Linked DNA regions of Caenorhabditis elegans. The protein of the gene in region 2 purifies or fractionates together with the protein of the main gene of each other region. This does not show direct contact. Each region holds a gene or a part of one and is shown on either strand. Other genes may lie near its edges.

Region 1 (5,177 bases), 2.2 Mb from region 2:
TGCTAATTTAAATTGTTTTTTTTTTAAATATTCTACTTCATCATTTTTCATCTCAAAAAAAAATTGAAATTTCCTATAGCATTCATAATTTGCCTAAATTATTTATAGGAACTCATTCCAAATCCCACCACCTGTACCCCCACAAACTGTTTTGGCAGATTAAGTGTGGAATAACGTAAGGAAACAAATGAGGTGCCGAAATGTAGTCGCCTATGATCTGATATGCACACCAAAAAAAAGAAGTGCCTTCACTTCATCCTCAATTATGCAATCAAAAATCTGTCGTTTGTTTGGTCTCAAGGTCGATGGTCCTCTTCGTCGGAAACCTTTTGAAGTGAGACGAGACCTGTTGTCCAATTATTTGTCGATCATCAACTGTTTTTTTTTATTGTTTCGCCAACACTTCCGAGACTGGTTTATCCCCTGATATTCGACCATAAAATACATGCGGGAAATATATATATATATATATATATATATATATATATATATATATATATATATATATATATATATGATGTACTTCATTATTTCGAATCAAAATTACAAATATTCATAATAAGAAATGTGCGATAAAGAGTTCTACAATCCATTTTGTTTTCTAATTCACAAGTTGAGCCAAAAGTCTAGTGAAGTCTGATCCCAACTTTTGGAACTTTGGAGGTGTCAATGTCGTCGTGTGGGAAGAATGGATGCTTGACAGCGCTGAAAAATTATACAATGATAATTTGCATAGCTTTGTGTACTACACGAGGAAAAGTGTGATTTAATTTGTTTATAGGATTGTATAATTTTGAGCTGGAATTCTTGAGTTTGGACCATCGAATTTTTGCCAATTTTGGAAATTTCGGCAGTTGGCAAAATTGTCAATTGCCGAAAATTTCCAAAACTGGCAATTGCCAAAATTGCCAGTTGCCGGAAATCAGAATTGCCGGAAATATAATTTTAGCCTAAACATGCATTTTAAGGAACAATTTTCCTTTTTCAAGCTCAAAATGATTGAATCCTTGATGGATTTAACGCTTTCTTTCAGAAAATGACTAACTGAATACTAAAAACCAATTTGCAATTTTTTCAATTTCCGAAATATAGTTAGGTTTGAAAATCGCCGAAAATGTCCGGCAATCGACAATTTCTGCAATTTCGGCAATCGCCGGAATCGCCGATTGCCGGAATTTTTCAAAACCGGCAATTGATGAAATTGCCAATTGCAGCGCACTCTTGGTTTGGACTACTGAAGATTTACCGGCCCACTGACGGGAAAATATCCTGAAGTGAGCGAGTGGAGGGGAAATAATTTCGACAAAAATATAAAAGTTTCAAACTTGAAATGGTTTTTTTTAATTTTAAAACATTCGTTCCATAGATAAAAAACCTACAAATCAGCGATGAAAAGTCTAGTTCTGGTCTCGATACTGTTCAAAGTGTGCATATCCTCATCGCTCAGCTTAAAATCAAACGTCGAGATATTCTCAACAATTCTGTCCGGACTGACACTCTTCGGAATCGTCGAAATACCGTGTTGAGTCAGGTGGCGAATGAGAATCTGTGCAGCAGTTTTGTGATACTTGGCAGCCAGTTGTTTGACGATTGGCTCGAGAAGTGGGTCACCTTCCGGCCAGACACCGTCCGGACGAGCAGCTTTTCTGCCTGGTGAGCCAAGTGGTGCGTATGCTGTAACAGTGACTCCGAGTTTTTTGCACAGAGCACGGAGCTCTTGTTGTGGCCAATAGATGTGACACTCGACTTGTTGGTTGGCTGGCTTCACTTCGGCGGCGTCATAGAGCGCTTGAAGCTGGTTGCAACTGAAGTTGGATACTCCAAGGGCCTGAAAATTATATTTTTGGAGAAAGAACACTACGTGTAACTTGAACATGGATAGTTAACAAAATATTGGCAACTAATTTTTCTACATTCTGCTGAAATTTTATAAGTATATGTATTCCAAAAAACGTTACAGCAGCTGACACCCGGTGGGTCTAATTTTGACTACATTTTTTGAATAAACCACTGGAAATTTTCAAGAAAAAATTTAATAAGAACATTTTTAATACAAACTTTTCATCACATGGACGGCAAACGATTTTTCGGGCAAACTGCCTGTTTAAAAATTTCCGCCAAATCGGCAAACTGACAAATTGCTTACCGAATTTGCCGGAAAAAAGGCCAATAATTTTCGAAAAATTGTGGTTTTGCACTTTTTTTTTTGGAAATTTCAGAATTTCAATTTTAATCGGCAAAATTGTACGCATCCTATGAATGTTTCTACATCTGTTTTGAAAAATAAGCAAATCCTTTGAAAATGTTTAATGAAAACGGGAAAAAATTTCAAAAAGACACAGTGTTAAGTGCTTCCGTCTTATAAAAAATTCCCTCTAAACACTTCCGGCAAATTTATATAATGGCGAACGGCGAATCAGCGAATTGCCGAAAATGAAAACTTCCGGCAAACCGTCAAACCGGCAATTTGCCGTTTTGCCGAACTTGTCGACAAAAAAATTTGCCGAATGGCATTGCCGCCCACCCCTGATTCAATTACTTTATGGAAATCGAAATTGCTGATGTTCCTTCAAGACCAAATCTCACAAACCTTAAGCTTTCCCTCCTTGTACAACTTCTCCAACGCTCTCCATGTATCAATATGAGCGATTTCTGTAACAGCAAGCTCTCCATTCTCCATCAATGGAGCAAAGCTTCCCTCCTGATGTTTGAATGGGAATGGGCAATGGATCAAATACAGGTCAATATACTCAAGTTGAAGCGCCTTCAATTGGCTTTCCACACATTTTGGAACATCTTCCGGGGCGTGAGCGGTAAATGGAAGTTTAGAGGTGACGAAGATGTCCTCGCGTTTCAGTTTTCCAGATGAGATGTACTCATGGAGCACTTTTCCAATAATGTGCTCGTTTTGGTAGAGGTGAGCAGTGTCTGAATATTGAAAAAATGGGATTTTCAGTTGTCAAAACGTTGTCAAAACTGCCCTCCAAGGATCAACTTTGCCAATGGTTTTATTCGAAAACTCGAAAAACTGGACACCGTAAAAAATCTCAACATTTGTGTCAAAAAGTAGAAAAATACCTAGAATTTGAATGGGAAAATCTGAAGTTAAAGGTGTGAGTAAAGTTTGTCGGTTTTTTGAAAATGGGTCGTAGTTACCGAATGTAAAAAATGTTGGAAAAAAATTTCAAAATTTTTAATGTTTTTTTTCAATTGTGCAAAAAATTTAATTAACTGGTTTGAGCAAGCCACCACTTTTTTTTTGAGTTTTCCGTTTTTGGCCAAAAATAACATTTTTTAAATCGGTTTTTATTTTCCAATTATTTTTTTGTGACATCTCAAATGGAAGAAGAAAAGAAAACATGACTAAAAAAAAATTATGGTTTCCATCTAGGACAGCACTCACCAATAAGTCTGTATCCAGCATCAAGAGCTGCACGAAGAGCCACAGTCAGCTCAGCTTCATCCTTCACCTGCCACGTTCCCAATCCGAAAAGTGGAAGCTGAGCTCCGGTATTCAATGGAATAGAGTCTACGGTCATTCTGCAAATACTCAAAATGAATATGACCGAAAAGCAGAAAACTGATAAATGTAAAAGGAGAAGCTACGTTTAAACCAATAGATGACAAAATGATAAACAAAATAAATGATAAGAGGTATTTTGTGACCATCGGCAAGAAATAGAGACGAGAGATGAACAAACGGTTTTCGCTCAGTCACAAAAAATGAATGCCGGAAAAATAGAAAAAAGATGAAAAGACCGTAACGGAAAATGTTCAATGATGCGGAGGCCAATTTTCACTTTTTTTTCATGCAAATTCCAAAAACATGACAATTGTTTTTGTTTGTGGCAATGTGAGAACTGAGACTATTGACAGAAATTTGAAATACATGCAGATAGATGTTCATGTGATGAAACAGTAGTAGGAAGTGGACGACGTTGAAATGAAGGACGCCTAGATAAGAGGGGAAAAGTGTTGTCAGATGACCGAAAAGTGGGTGAGTTCGAAAATCATTATTTGATCGTTTGAAGTAATGAAAAAACAACAAAAGACACAAATTAAAAATTTTTAAAAGGTGAAGTAGCGTAATATCGTGCCAAAATTAGGAAATATCATAGTAAAAATTTTCAAAAATTGTTTTAAAAAGTTATATTTACAGTCAAAAAAAAAAAAATAGAAATGCCGGAAAGGCCTTCTGAAAATAAAAAGTTTATTGTTGAAAAATCTAAAAGAAACTTTAAATAGGGCCTTAAAATTGTTGTTTTGTGCAAAAATTACTTTGAATTTTTCACAGCAAACTGAAATTTTCAACGACCGTTTGAGGTATTTTTTAAACTTTCAAATAAAAATGAATAAAAATTTCAGATTGAACAAACAATTTTCTACATTTTTTTTAAATATTTGATTTGAAAAAGTTATACTTTCGTACTGAAATGAACAGTTCTGTACGTTTGCCAATTCTTTGAAAAACCGATTTTTTATAGAGTGCAATTTTTATGTGACAGCCTGGTTGTTGAAATCTTAACTATTATCAATTTGCTATACCGTTCAAAAATTATTTTGAAGTGGACGCTGGCTTCTGCAGAAAAGTTGATTTCTCATTGAATATGTAAAATGATATTGAAACCTGAAACGTGCAAAAATTTTGAGATTAAAAAAAACAATCCCATCCAGAACATAAACTGTAAAAATCTGACAAAAAAAATTCCAAAAACCGGTTGCCGAAAATAAAATGGAAAAAATAGAGAAAAATAACATATGTACAGTATAAATTATTAAATTTCCATTGATTAACGGCCAAGCAACTAAAAGTGTCTAACTAGCCTCTACTGAAAATTAAAAATAAAAATTTGAGGTAAGTACACGATTTCTTAAAATTCCTAAACTTGGGTTCAGCATTTTCCAGTTTTTGAAACAAAACTTGATAGCGTGGTTCTTCGATTTCACAGATTACGAATCTACAATATTAAAGAACATTTCGGGATTAATTTTCAATCTATCACGCATATTTGATCTACGAGAGGCTGATCTACCGGGTTCGATAGCTATCTTCCGAAAGCAGATCACTCGAGAAGGGCATAATTCAGTGTGTATTTGAGATGTCAGGTTCCTCGTGCTGCATCTTTTTTGATGTTTTTTGTAATGTTTTTAATGTTCTATGCAATTATGAAAAATTT
Region 2 (7,696 bases):
TGACTCTGTCAATAGATAATGGGGTGCAGTACTAATAGAGACTGCAGCACTATTTTTCGTTCACTTTTTGAATGCAGCACTATTAGAGACTGCAGTACTACTGGATATGCAGCACTAATAGAGAATATACGGCAACTAGTATAAGCATTCGCAAACTCTTTGAAAATGGAATTTTCAGATGCGCCGAGGAAAGAGCTGCACAACCCAGTCAGTTACCTAACTATTCACATAAAAGCCCCCTAACCCCTAGAAAAACCGAATTTTTCACCTCCACAGTAGTCCTTTTAAAGAATCCGAAAGAGGCGGGACAAACTAGTGATCTTCGAGATTTTCCTTAACAATTTCTTATCAGTACTTCGTGGTTTAGTGCGATGTGTTTAGATTTGATTGAAACTACGAAGTTATCAATGTTTATCACAATAAAATTGGAGTTGGCAAATTTAGGTTAAAGACCAATACCATAGTTTTTCAAATGGCATGATCCTTTCCACGCCTATTCGGGGGACTATAAAAAATGGGACTGGGGTACTGAAAACTACGAAATATTTTATAAGTTTTTTTTGTTAAATTTGATTAAACGTTTCTTTCATTTTTTTTGTAAAATTATCCATTTATATTGGTTTTATTTATGTTAAAATTTCAGATGACTGCTCCATCTGCTCCATGCGCCCAGGCTCCTCAACTCACCCGTCGTTGGGCAAAGATTGTCGTTGAGAACCGTACAGGATCACACTTTAAAATTCAAGTTCTTCATGAATACACCGGGGAACAAACCAATGATTCTGGATATATCGACTTCAAGCCAGATGATAGAATCACTGTTTTCGAGAAGATATATTATAATACCGGATTCTTCACAACTGGAGTTGATAACTGGAAGGTTCATGGCACTAAATTGATCCAGGTCGAGACGGAAGGAACTATTGCTAGAAATATCTTCGGCAAGTTCTTTGTCGACGGACTTCCATACAGTACGGGGCATGGAGCTTTTGCTAAATGGAAGAAGCACACTTTAAGAGCTGATGATGATGGACAGGAAACTGTGATCAAGGTATTTCAGACTGAGGTTCAGTTCATTTCGCCAAGTGGACGATCGGTTACCACTTTCAACACTCTTGGAGAAAACATCCTCCCATTCTCCCAAAACCCACAGAAGCAGTGAATAATTATCGAGTTATAATGGTGAATAGATTTGTAATGGATTATTGTAATTTCTTGTGGACTTTAACCTAAAGTTGCCAACTTCATATTTTATTGGTGATAGAGTTATAAACACTGATAACGAATTCTTTGTATTTTCAAATCGCAACACATTGAACCAAACCACAAAGTACTGATAAGAAGAATGAGAAGGAGAAAGATCATAAAATTGTTTGTCAGCAATATGCCGGTTCCGCCTCTTTTGGTTTGCTGATATGGAATACATGGCAGAATTAGTTGGTATTCAGTCAGAACGGAGTGTGATGTCTATTCAAAGGTTATATTGAATCAGAAACCTTTTTTAGTTTTAAAATAAACTTATAAACCGAGACAAACCCTGAAAGATTTCAACTCGAGTATGAGAAATGGGCGGGGGGAAGGGATTAGAAGAAACGAAGTGAAAATAAAGTGACTCGAGTTCAATTAGACCGGGGTATGTGAAGATCAAAAAAGTGAGTAACAGGATTTAACAGAGAAGTTTTATTTACCAAAGAAGTCACCTACAGTAACACCAAAATTGTTGGGTATCAACGTGTATTGACCCACGACGTGGCTAAAAAGATCGTACAACGTGAACTCTATGAACTAGCTTATTTATTCCTTAGTTTAATGTAATAATAAACTACTCGTCTTCGCCTCCTCGTTCTGCCTCAATACATAACAATCTGCCTCAATACATTAAGTTGTCTCTGAGCACAAATAGGCCGATATATTTCCAAACGCAATACGTTTTTTAAAAATCATATTTGTATTACTTACTTGCGTACATAATGTAAAACGTCTCACACGGTTAATGTCTCTACTACGTATTAGGTGTAGGCACCGGTAGGCACTCTGGTAAGGAATAGAATTCCTGATTCGATATGATGTTCTTCAAAAATGTATTTTATTTTATAGGGCCCGCTCAGAAAACTTCAGAAAGTGTAAATCACTTCTAGTGGACTGTTTTTGAGCTCAGGGTTTAGAATTCAAGTTTGATTGGTACGCATGAAAAATTATATTAGATAAATTACAATAAATTTATTGAAACTTTTAAAGAAAATCTATTGATAAGAATTATTGACTGAAAATTTAAACATCATGTCTATAGAAGTCAGTAGTCGATGTTCCACTCTTGGATACAAATTGAACTTCTTTCTCGAGAACCTTGATTACTGTAGTTTGGGCATGGTCTTCTACTCTCAAAGTGTGTTTTTTCCAATCAGCCCCATCTGGATGTCCACTACGCCAAGCTTCACCGAGAATACGAACCTTTCCATCAACCACTCCATTCTTATCGTCTACTGTAAATTAATTCCTTCAAAACTATCAAAATATAAGTTAACTTACAGTTTGTCTCAATCTGTTTGATTCCATGAACCTTCCAATTATCAGTACCAGTTGTAAATGGTCCAGTGTTGTAGTGAACTTTCTCCAGAATTTGGGCACTTTGGTTTGGCTCCAATTTCACCCATTTTGAAGCTTCCAATGCATTGCCGGTATACTGATGAAGCACTTGGAACTTGAACACATGGTCACTTTTGTTCTCAATATCCACTTTGGCCCATTGTTCTGTCACACCTGATGGTTCGTCGCTTGCCATTTCTTGAAACGTTGAAGAGAATCGACTCACTTGAGTTTCGATTGATTTCGTGTATTTCCAACTGACTTTAAAAAGCAGTTCAAGTGGGTGGAGTTAAGCACATTACTTGTCAATAGATAATGTTTCAATACTGATATAAAACCTTTGGTCTATGCTTATCTGTCATTACTTTGTGTTCTTTGTCATTTTCAAGCAACGTGTCTGCGGTTTTGACGTCAAGAAACCAAAGGTGTACCAAAAGAAAGCACAACTTTATGATCAATTTTCATGATCATAGTTCATGCTACATGAAACTAACAGGCAAACTGTTCAATTTCATGTTCTTTATCAATTTCACAAACAATCAAACCACAAAAATAGTCAAAGAGAGAAGATCACTTGCATTCCTTATCAATAACTCCACCTCCTCGTTTAGTTTAAAATGGTTACCGTATCAACTGATAATTCAGATCGTTTCTTGACTGAAAACTGATCATGTCGACTGATCCAACTCCACCACAACTCACGAGACGCACTGCAAAGGTTTCAATTGATAATCAGACTGGAAGTCACTTCAAGTTTCAAGTGACACATAAATACACTGGATGGGATGCGGATAAGTCTGATGTTGTGATGTTCCAGCCTGATGAAGTCAAGGAAATCTTCAAAAGTGTCGCCTATAACACTGGATTCTTGACAACTGGAGTTGACAATTGGCTAGTGGATGGTACGATGGTTCAGGAGAGAACTGGTTTGTGGAGTTTTATCTTTTGAGAATAAAGAACTTGAAATTTCAGAAGTGGATAACAAAGGTCACCAAATCGGAAAGAAATCCTACATAGAGCATGCGAAATTCATCAGTGACTCGAGATCATGGAAGCAGCATATGCTAACAGCTGAAGATGACGGAAAAACTACCACGATCCGTGTTTTCCCAACCGAAATTCACTTCATCTCTCCAAGTGGGGAATCGACTACCACTTTCACTAAATATTGATTTCATGTTTTATTTGTAGTTACTTTGAGTTTCTGTTTGAGCAGCGATATTCTTCGTAGGAGTACTTTTCTTAAGCTTTTTTTTTTGAAATAAAATTCATTCTCAAAACTATTTCCAAGCAAAGCTAATTTTTGATTGAAGCTAGATAATTGTCATCAACAGTAATTGTAGAATTTTAGCTTTTTCTGTATTAGGAAATCTACCGTTTCAACCTTTTATACACTTTTCTATCTTTCCACTATGTCCAATTTCTTTTTACAAATATAACAAATATACGACAGCGCAAATGGGAACTAGGACTTGCACTCGTGACTCCCAGGTTGCGAACGGCCACCACAACCGACTGAGCTATCCCGACCCAGGTGCATATTTTCGAATGGCTAAATATTTTCAAATTACTGAACGAATGTTGTCAGTGAAAATTGTCTATTAATTTGGCTGAAAAATATTTTTATAAAAATACAAAATCAGGTCAGGTATTCAGATCAGTCTCAAACTTGATTCAATCGAGCCAATGAATAAAATAGTTGACTGAAAATCATTCCTGAGAACTTTGTAAAAAAATTACATTATCAAGTTCAAGTAGTTTAAAGTTTGAAACATTTCCAAAAAGTGCAGGTTTTATTTTTTGAACAAAAAAATAATCTGGTAAATTCAGTACTAATTGGAAAAATCATGAGACAAATTGATTTTTTTTAATCTTACGAAAAATCGATTTTGAACTTCATTTAGAAAACAGACTCATAATATTCCACATTTGACTTTTTCAGATGTTTTCAATTTTTAAGCAAAACTGCCAAGTTTGATATTTTTTAATGAGTTTTGAAAAGATAAAATCGGTCTCTTTTTTGCATTGGTCTGGATCTTCGCGATTTAGAGATATTTTTAACATTAGATGATAAACTTGAAGAACAAGGTTGCTCCGACATGTGGCGTACAAATGAACACATGCTTTTTCTCATTTTACTCCTAATTCTAACCAAGCATGAACTTCTTGTTGATACTGACCCTAATTTCTATTATAGTGCGGAGTAGACAAGAGGTAAGTAATCACAAAAAGAAACAAAAAAAATACTGAAAATTTAGAATTTTCCGGTATTATCAAATTGAATCTACTTAAGTTCGAACACTAATTGACAGTGATTTTTTTTTTGAAAATGACTTATTCAAAAAATCAAGAATATAGAGATCCCGGTTTGTTCAATTTTTTAAAAAACCGTCAAAATTTTCGACATTTTTTGGTTTCCCATTTTTTGTTTCAAGTTTCAAGACTTTAACCTAGAATTTGTCGATATTCAGGAAGACTTTGCTAAATAAACTACAAACTACAAAATGTATTCAGAATGCTAGTATGGATCCTTGCAACGACTTCTATGATTATGTGTGCACAAATGACACCAGAAGTATCACTAAGCTTAACTTCGCAAGTTTATTCGATGATCGAGAGATATTGGTAGTTTGCTTCCTGCCATTTATCCTATAGTACCCAGCAATTTTTCAGAAACCGAACATCTCATTTCCGAATAACGGGACCTACATCGCATTAGATCAGATTCTTGAGCCGGATCGCTTGATGAAATGGTATATGACGGTTAAATCACTGGATACGGCCACCGTGGATTTAGAATATTTTTTCGAGACGCATTACGAATATATTAGCAAAAAGAACGATTCGGAGAAATTCAGTTTTGCGGTGGAGACCCTGGAAAACGTTAATCTAACGGTAAATATTTATTTTCAGGACAAGTAATGGTGAAGCATATCTTGCTAATACCCTATTTGTTCTATTTTATCACATAGTTTTTCCAGTTGACAAATATTTTCTACAATTCTCTCTACGCCAATATCAAGGTCCTCAACCAGCTTAATCTTCCAGCCGCCGAAGAAAATAAATTTCTTCATCATATTTCCAATCTATTGAAAAATAATACTATCGAGGAGATTTGGAGCAGTTCTTTATCAAATAAAAGTAAAAAGGTACTTGATGAAGAACTGAACAACTCAAAAGTATTTTTCGGACTTTTGGATTATAATAATGTCACAATGCTAGAGGAAACTAAACTCGTTTACGAGACGGAATATTATCGACTCAAAAGTTTATTGTCGTCAGAGTAAGTTGATATTTGAAGACAAACTTTTAAAATTTGTCTTCAGTGATCTTGACACCGAAATCGCGGAGAAAATCCTCCGTTTAGGAGCCATTGATACCGCGACAAAGTACTTGGCGAAACGAATTCCGGGCTATGAACCAGAGTTTTTGTTCTCCGCTTTTGCGTCGAATATGGAAAATGAAGCGTTTAAGCACAACTCAGCTATTTATGCTGGAATTGTCACCCGAAGTGATTTACAACAACCTATGTTAGCGGTGAGGAAATATTGAACATTAATTTTTATTCTAGTATTTTTTGCTGACTAACGGTTTTTAAATCTGAAATTCAGTCACCAAAAAACTTACCTGAAAATGCCGAGTCTATTTTGCACTTTTCCAGATAGCCGACACCGTTTCCGTGCTTGCCCATGAGCTTATGCACTTTGTCTATCCAAGCGGAACAGAGTTACTGACTCCTAATGTTACAAAAGCAGCAAAAAAGTGTACACAAGATGAAGTGAAGAGGATGGGTGACTCTGATGTCGTGGTAAGCTAGCGACTGTCGGCTTTTTCCGAACATACTTCTGAAAAAATTGACGGTTTCAGAAGCCAATAGATGGATGGTTTAGTAAAAAAGTCACTCATGAGGATCTTGCAAATATAATGGGATTAAGGATGGTTATGAAGATGGTGGCAAGGAAATCGGCAAGTGAAGAGCAGGTAAGAAATATTTCAGCAAAATAAAATCAGAGGCATTGAAATGCTCCAATGTATTTGTTACGAGCACACAAGTGGAACGATTAAGTTTTAAAAAATTCGCTAATTTGTACCACAGTCTGTACTTACTATTAGAACTTGCTCCCGTCACTGTAAAAAAATTAAATATTTCAGCTGAAAAATGCGCTTGAAACACTTTTGAGTGGATTATGCATCCAAGGCAAACCAAAAAACTCAATTTTACCACACCATCATCCATTTGAAATATCCATCAACACCGCAGTTCGCCAGTATCCATTGTTCAGCTCACTCTATGGATGTCGCCTTGGTGATCGAATGTTTGCTGAAGCGGTGCGGAAATTAAGATGAAAAGGGAAAATACAGAATAACAGTTTTTTTAGGAACAATTTTGCAAACCACTTGGAGGCGAAGTGAATTTGGAGGACTATAAAATCAAGAATGATACTGAAGATATTGGTGGATTCTTTACTTACATTATGGATACCGCAAATGCATTTAATTTTTCCTTTAGAAATTGAGTTTTTTGAGACCATCATTCAACATTTACATGCAAAATACACGATATTTAAACTATCTATAATAACTTGATGTTTTCCCAGCGTTTCATTGGTTTTCGTATGTTTTTTTAAAACGCATTTTTCATCAATTGTATGCTTTCAGTTTATATGTTTTTTTTTAAAGTACACTTTTAAACTAATAAAAAACTCTGTATTGATTCAAAACATACAGTGCATTTTTTCTACGCTTCTACGGCTTTAAAGGGTGGCTCATTTATTCACAATGGCCCCGCCACACTCCACCATGGTCTCGCCACGTGCTTCAAAAATAAATGGATGGTGCGTGGCTAGACCATTTCGAATAAATGAATTTATTAGAATTTTCTATAAAAAAAATGGGTCTCTTTCCTATCATTAACAATTGGTCTGGGTCATGGTGATTTAGAGATACATTTGACATTGGAAGAAAGTTGAAGAACAAAGTTGCTCCGACATGTGGCGTACAAATGAACACATGCTCTCCACATTTTGCTCCTAATACTAACTGAGAATGAACTTCCTGTTGGTACTGACACTAATTGTGACTATAAGTGTGCAGAGTAGACAAGATGTGA
Region 3 (4,368 bases), on a different chromosome or scaffold from region 2:
AGTGTTGCTCTTCTTATCACAGGTTAGATTATTATGAAGACGCAGAAAATGCGCTCCACGGCCAATTGGAACCGCTCCGCCTCAAATAGTTGGGTCTCGTTAGGAAAAACTGGTAACTTGAAAGTTACCACTTGAAGCTAATTGAAAATGCTGAATTTTGGTAGAATACCTAATGAGACCCACGGTTAGGAGGCGGAGCGTTTTCAATTTGCCGTGGAGGGCGTTTTCACGTTGATTGGGCATTTTTTCTACGTCCCAATAATATTTTATATTTTCCAGGTATAATCATAATCGCCGTCACGCTAGATCCAACTTCAAATAGTGAGGAGGATGAGGAATCGGATTTGGAAATCGACGAACCCACGGCGGCTCGTTCCAAACGGAATGATAAACAGATTGCCGATCCGAATAGTTACTATCCACGTTTTGATTATGATTTCAATCATTCGAATACGATTCTCTCTGAACTGTGATTATTTTCCCCCATTCCATTTACGGGTCTAATCGTCACTTTTATGATAAAATGTGTATTATATATGAACAAACAAGAAATGAGAGGTTGCAAAAAACCATGGCAATAAACGTTATTGAACAAGAATAAAAGAACCAAGAAGTGATTGTGTGTGGGGATGGATGAGAGAATTCAGAATTCACAGAATTTCAATTTACTTGAGCTGTGGGAACGACATTTGTGGCTTCAGCTCGGTGAGCGACTCGTTCCAGTATTGAGTGACAGTCTTCCATTGAGTGTAGAACTGGATTCCGGCCTTTCCGTAGAAGTTGAGATCTCCGAGGAATGAACCACGCGAGCCGGTGAACGAGAACATTGGGAGTGGAACTGGGATTGGCACGTTGATTCCGATTTGTCCGACATCGACTTCGTTGGTGAACTTTCTGGCGGTGGCTCCGTTGCTGGTGAAGATGGCCGTTCCGTTTCCGTATGGGTTGTTGTTGATGATTTCGATGGCCTCGTTCAAGTTCTCGGCCTCCATGACGACAAGGACTGGGCCGAAGATTTCTTCCTACAAAAAATTAAATATTAAATTAAACAAATTTAAAAAAAAACAAAATCTTACTCTGTAGCAAGTCATATTTGGCTTGACTCCAGCGAGAATCGTTGGTCCCACGAAGTTTCCATTCTCAAATCCTGGAACAGTGATATTGGATCCATCAAGTGGAACCTGAGCTCCCTCCTTCTTGGCACTCTCGATAAGACGGAGGACACGGGCCTTGGATTGCTTGGAGATCAGTGGTCCGATGTCGGTATCCGGCTTCCATCCAGCGTTGACCTTCAAGTTCTTGGCCTTCTCGACGAGTTCTGGGAGCCAGGCGCGAGCTTCTCCGACGAGCACAGCGGTGGTGAGAGCCATGCAGCGTTGTCCGGCGGCTCCGAAGGCGGCAGCGGTGAGCTGATTGAGGGTCTGTTCTTTGTTGGCATCAGCCATGATGACTCCGTGGTTCTTGGCTCCCATGTTGGATTGGACGCGCTTTCCGTTCTTGGCTCCACGCTCGTAGATGTGTTTTCCCTGAAAAAATCATGAAAATTGATTAATGTTCATAAAAAACAAATTCAAAAAAACTTACAGCAGCATCTCCTCCAACAAATGAGATAGCCTTGATATCTGGGTTATCGCAGATAAAGTTAACAGCAGAGTGCTGTCCGTGAATAATATTGACACATCCATCTGGAACTCCGGCCTCCTTGGCAAGTTCGACAAGAAGCTGAGCTGCTCCTGGATCCTGCTCGGATGGCTTGATGACCATAGTGTTTCCGGTGGCCAAGGCGACTGGGAACATCCACAATGGGATCATAGCCGGGAAGTTGAATGGACAGATTCCGGCGGTGACTCCAAGTGGGATTCTGTAGGAGTGGGTGTCCATGTCGCGAGAGACATTTGGAAGGGTCTCTCCCATCATCAGGGATGGAACGGAGCAAGCGTGCTCGACGACCTGAAGACCTCTGCTGACGTCTCCCTCGGCATCTGGAAGGGTCTTTCCTTGCTCAATGGTGATGCTCTCAGCGAGCTTCTTCATGTCTCTCTTGATCAAGGCTTGAAGTTTGAACATGCATTGTTGACGGGTCAGTGGGGATCTGGAAACTTCTATTATTGAAATAAAAAAAAAAGATCACACGGGATTCAAGACTCACGTGTTCTTCCAGGTGTTGAAGGCATTCTTGGCCGAGTCAACAGCGGCTTGCATCTCAGCTTGGGTGGCGTTTGGCACCATAGCGATGACCTCGTTGGTGGCTGGATTGGTGAGCTCCACGAAGTCGGTGGTCTTCGATTCAACAGCTTGTCCATCGATCCACAGCTTGACAGTCTGAAAAATTATGGAATTTGGATTTGGAAACTTAAGATCAAGCCTGAAACTCACTGGTGCGGCGGCAGCAGACTTCGATGTGCTGAAGTGGGCGAGCTGTTGGCATTTTGGCTGAAATTAGAATATTATTTGAAGTTTTGAAGTTTTGATTGTTTGATTTTCGTTTTCTTTTTCAATGTGTCACCCCATACGACAACTGTCGCACAGACTGCAAGTGATGTGTGAAGTACACGATTTTTTGTTAAAAAATATTATAAAAAGAAACTCCTACCTGAACACGAGCAAGACGAGACAACATTCTGGGGTACCGCAAGTTTTAGAGCTGAAAATTAGAAGATAATGACTGAAAACGCACGAGAAGAAAAATTGAAAATCACAAGAGATGGGCGGTCGCGTGGTGGTTCTGACGATTCGGATAATGCGAAATGAATGAAAACTAAACATTACTGATCACGTTTCGAATTTTGAACTAAGAAATAAATAAAATAAGCCACAAAATACACGCGAACATTGAAAATTAAAAGGTTAAAAGCTCTATCTGCGAGTTTTTGAAGTTTCAATGCTGTTGATAAGACGACGGGAGGAGTGGCAAATAGGACAGAAGAAGAAGAACAGTTGCTTTTCTCTCTCTCTCAGCAAAAAAAGAAGAAAAAGAAATAAAAAAGAGTCAGAGAGTGGGAAAAGTGATAGTGCAAGAGACTAAGAGACGGCCACAGCACGTGGAGAGACCTGCAACTGCCCACCATTTGACCCGTGTGCACTTGGAGAAACGTGATCGATGCGTCTCGAAAACTCGAATACAAAAATAAAATAGTGTTGGTGAATAAACAACGTTAAGATAAAGATCATTAATTAAAACAAATAAAAATGCGGAATATTTAATTTTATATAAAAAAAAGAAACAGAAAGTGCTAGGAAATGTGACAAAAAAAAAAGTAAAAAATTAAAAATTATGAGATGAGAATATGACAGTGTCTAGTGTCTAGAAGGATAGAAGGCTAGAAAAGATTGAAAAAGAACGAGAATGCTATAAATTCAAATAAAAATGATTTAATTCCACTTGTCGACGGAGACATCCAAAAGTCCTGGCTCATGGAAACTCGCTGGGAAGCTGCGCTGTTTCGCGATGAAGATGGAGGCTTCAGTCTCCTGATCCTGATGATGAGAGGCCTCGTCAGCCGAGACAAAGGACGATCGGAGCCAAAAGATGTAGACGCACTGGAGAATCACGAGAAGGATTAAGACGACGCAGAACACGATCAGCCACATCATCGCGTTCACATTGCTGTCGGTCTGGAAATATATTTAATTTATAAATTTCTTCAACACAACCAGCTCACCTCAGACGGATTATTGCGAGCCAGGTAGTCTGCCTGCTCGTTTTCACAGCTCTCCTTGTTGTAATTCTTTCCATCTCTCAACATGCAATAATCGTTGGCCCTGAAATTATGAATATTAAATTCGAAGATCGATGATTTCTTCAAAACCTGATGATGAGGAGCTTGTTGGTCTTCGGAACAACACTGTAAATCGTCTCCGCGTTACAAGTGATACTCCATTCCGAATCGAGTGTTGTCAGCGTTGAGGACAGGGTCTGATGCGTTTCGTTGACATCTCTCACACTCGTCTCGTAGAATACTCCGTTCGAGACACCTTGGAGTTCGCCGCTCAACAAGGAATTTTCGATTCGTCGTCCAGCCATTTTTCCGGTGATAATCGGCACGACATCTTTGATTTTTGCTTGGAACATCTCCACGTGGCCATTAATTCGCTCCTTGTAGTAAACTGCATCGGTGTATGGATCCTCGACCCAATCGAACAGTCCATTCACAGCGTGGCCAGTGTACTTTGCGATGTGCAGCTTGTCGAATCGATCTGAAAATAAAAAATTATGATTAAAAGGCAGGCTTATTAAGCAAGTGATTACCGCTGAAAATGCCATGCAAGTAAATTTGCTCGATATCGTAGAATGGAGGAGCTGAAAAGTCCAGGTAAAGCATGTGTCGAGTCGTGTCGAACATTGAACGGGCCAGATTTCTCTTCGCC

Evidence for each region. The genes of interacting proteins can lie anywhere in the genome.
Region 1: the proteins of pud-2.2 (region 2) and exc-15 fractionate together in Caenorhabditis elegans (co-fractionation; one large-scale study listed by BioGRID). This does not show direct contact.
Region 3: the proteins of pud-2.2 (region 2) and alh-8 fractionate together in Caenorhabditis elegans (co-fractionation; one large-scale study listed by BioGRID). This does not show direct contact.

What each region holds. Positions count from the first base shown.
Region 1 is NC_003283.11:4,481,867-4,487,043, reverse strand, and holds exc-15 (NADP-dependent oxidoreductase domain-containing protein), read right to left. Parts: upstream 3,586-5,177; 5' UTR 3,540-3,585; coding exon 3,404-3,539; intron 2,929-3,403; coding exon 2,591-2,928; intron 1,829-2,590; coding exon 1,380-1,828; intron 706-1,379; coding exon 627-705; 3' UTR 501-626; downstream 1-500.
Region 2 is NC_003283.11:2,318,100-2,325,795, reverse strand, and holds pud-2.2 (Up-regulated in Daf-2 domain-containing protein), read right to left. Parts: upstream 2,783-7,696; coding exon 2,530-2,782; intron 2,484-2,529; coding exon 2,272-2,483; downstream 1-2,271. Other genes in the region: pud-3 (Up-regulated in Daf-2 domain-containing protein), read left to right, coding at 644-1,162; pud-1.2 (Up-regulated in Daf-2 domain-containing protein), read left to right, coding at 3,257-3,512, 3,559-3,758; Y19D10B.6 (Peptidase_M13 domain-containing protein), read left to right, coding at 4,744-4,800, 5,101-5,211, 5,260-5,481, 5,568-5,869, 5,913-6,123, 6,248-6,394, 6,454-6,567, 6,739-6,915 and 1 more.
Region 3 is NC_003280.10:11,727,331-11,731,698, reverse strand, and holds alh-8 (putative methylmalonate-semialdehyde/malonate-semialdehyde dehydrogenase [acylating], mitochondrial), read right to left. Parts: upstream 2,645-4,368; 5' UTR 2,621-2,644; coding exon 2,594-2,620; intron 2,434-2,593; coding exon 2,377-2,433; intron 2,323-2,376; coding exon 2,150-2,322; intron 2,103-2,149; coding exon of another isoform or gene 2,093-2,102; coding exon 1,585-2,092; intron 1,527-1,584; coding exon 1,077-1,526; intron 1,023-1,076; coding exon 666-1,022; 3' UTR 501-665; downstream 1-500. Other genes in the region: F13D12.8 (Col_cuticle_N domain-containing protein), read left to right, coding at 1-22, 280-473; F13D12.5 (uncharacterized protein), read right to left, coding at 3,373-3,615, 3,663-3,762, 3,810-4,197, 4,250-4,368. UniProt on the Caenorhabditis elegans protein: Probable malonate and methylmalonate semialdehyde dehydrogenase involved in the catabolism of valine, thymine, and compounds catabolized by way of beta-alanine, including uracil and cytidine.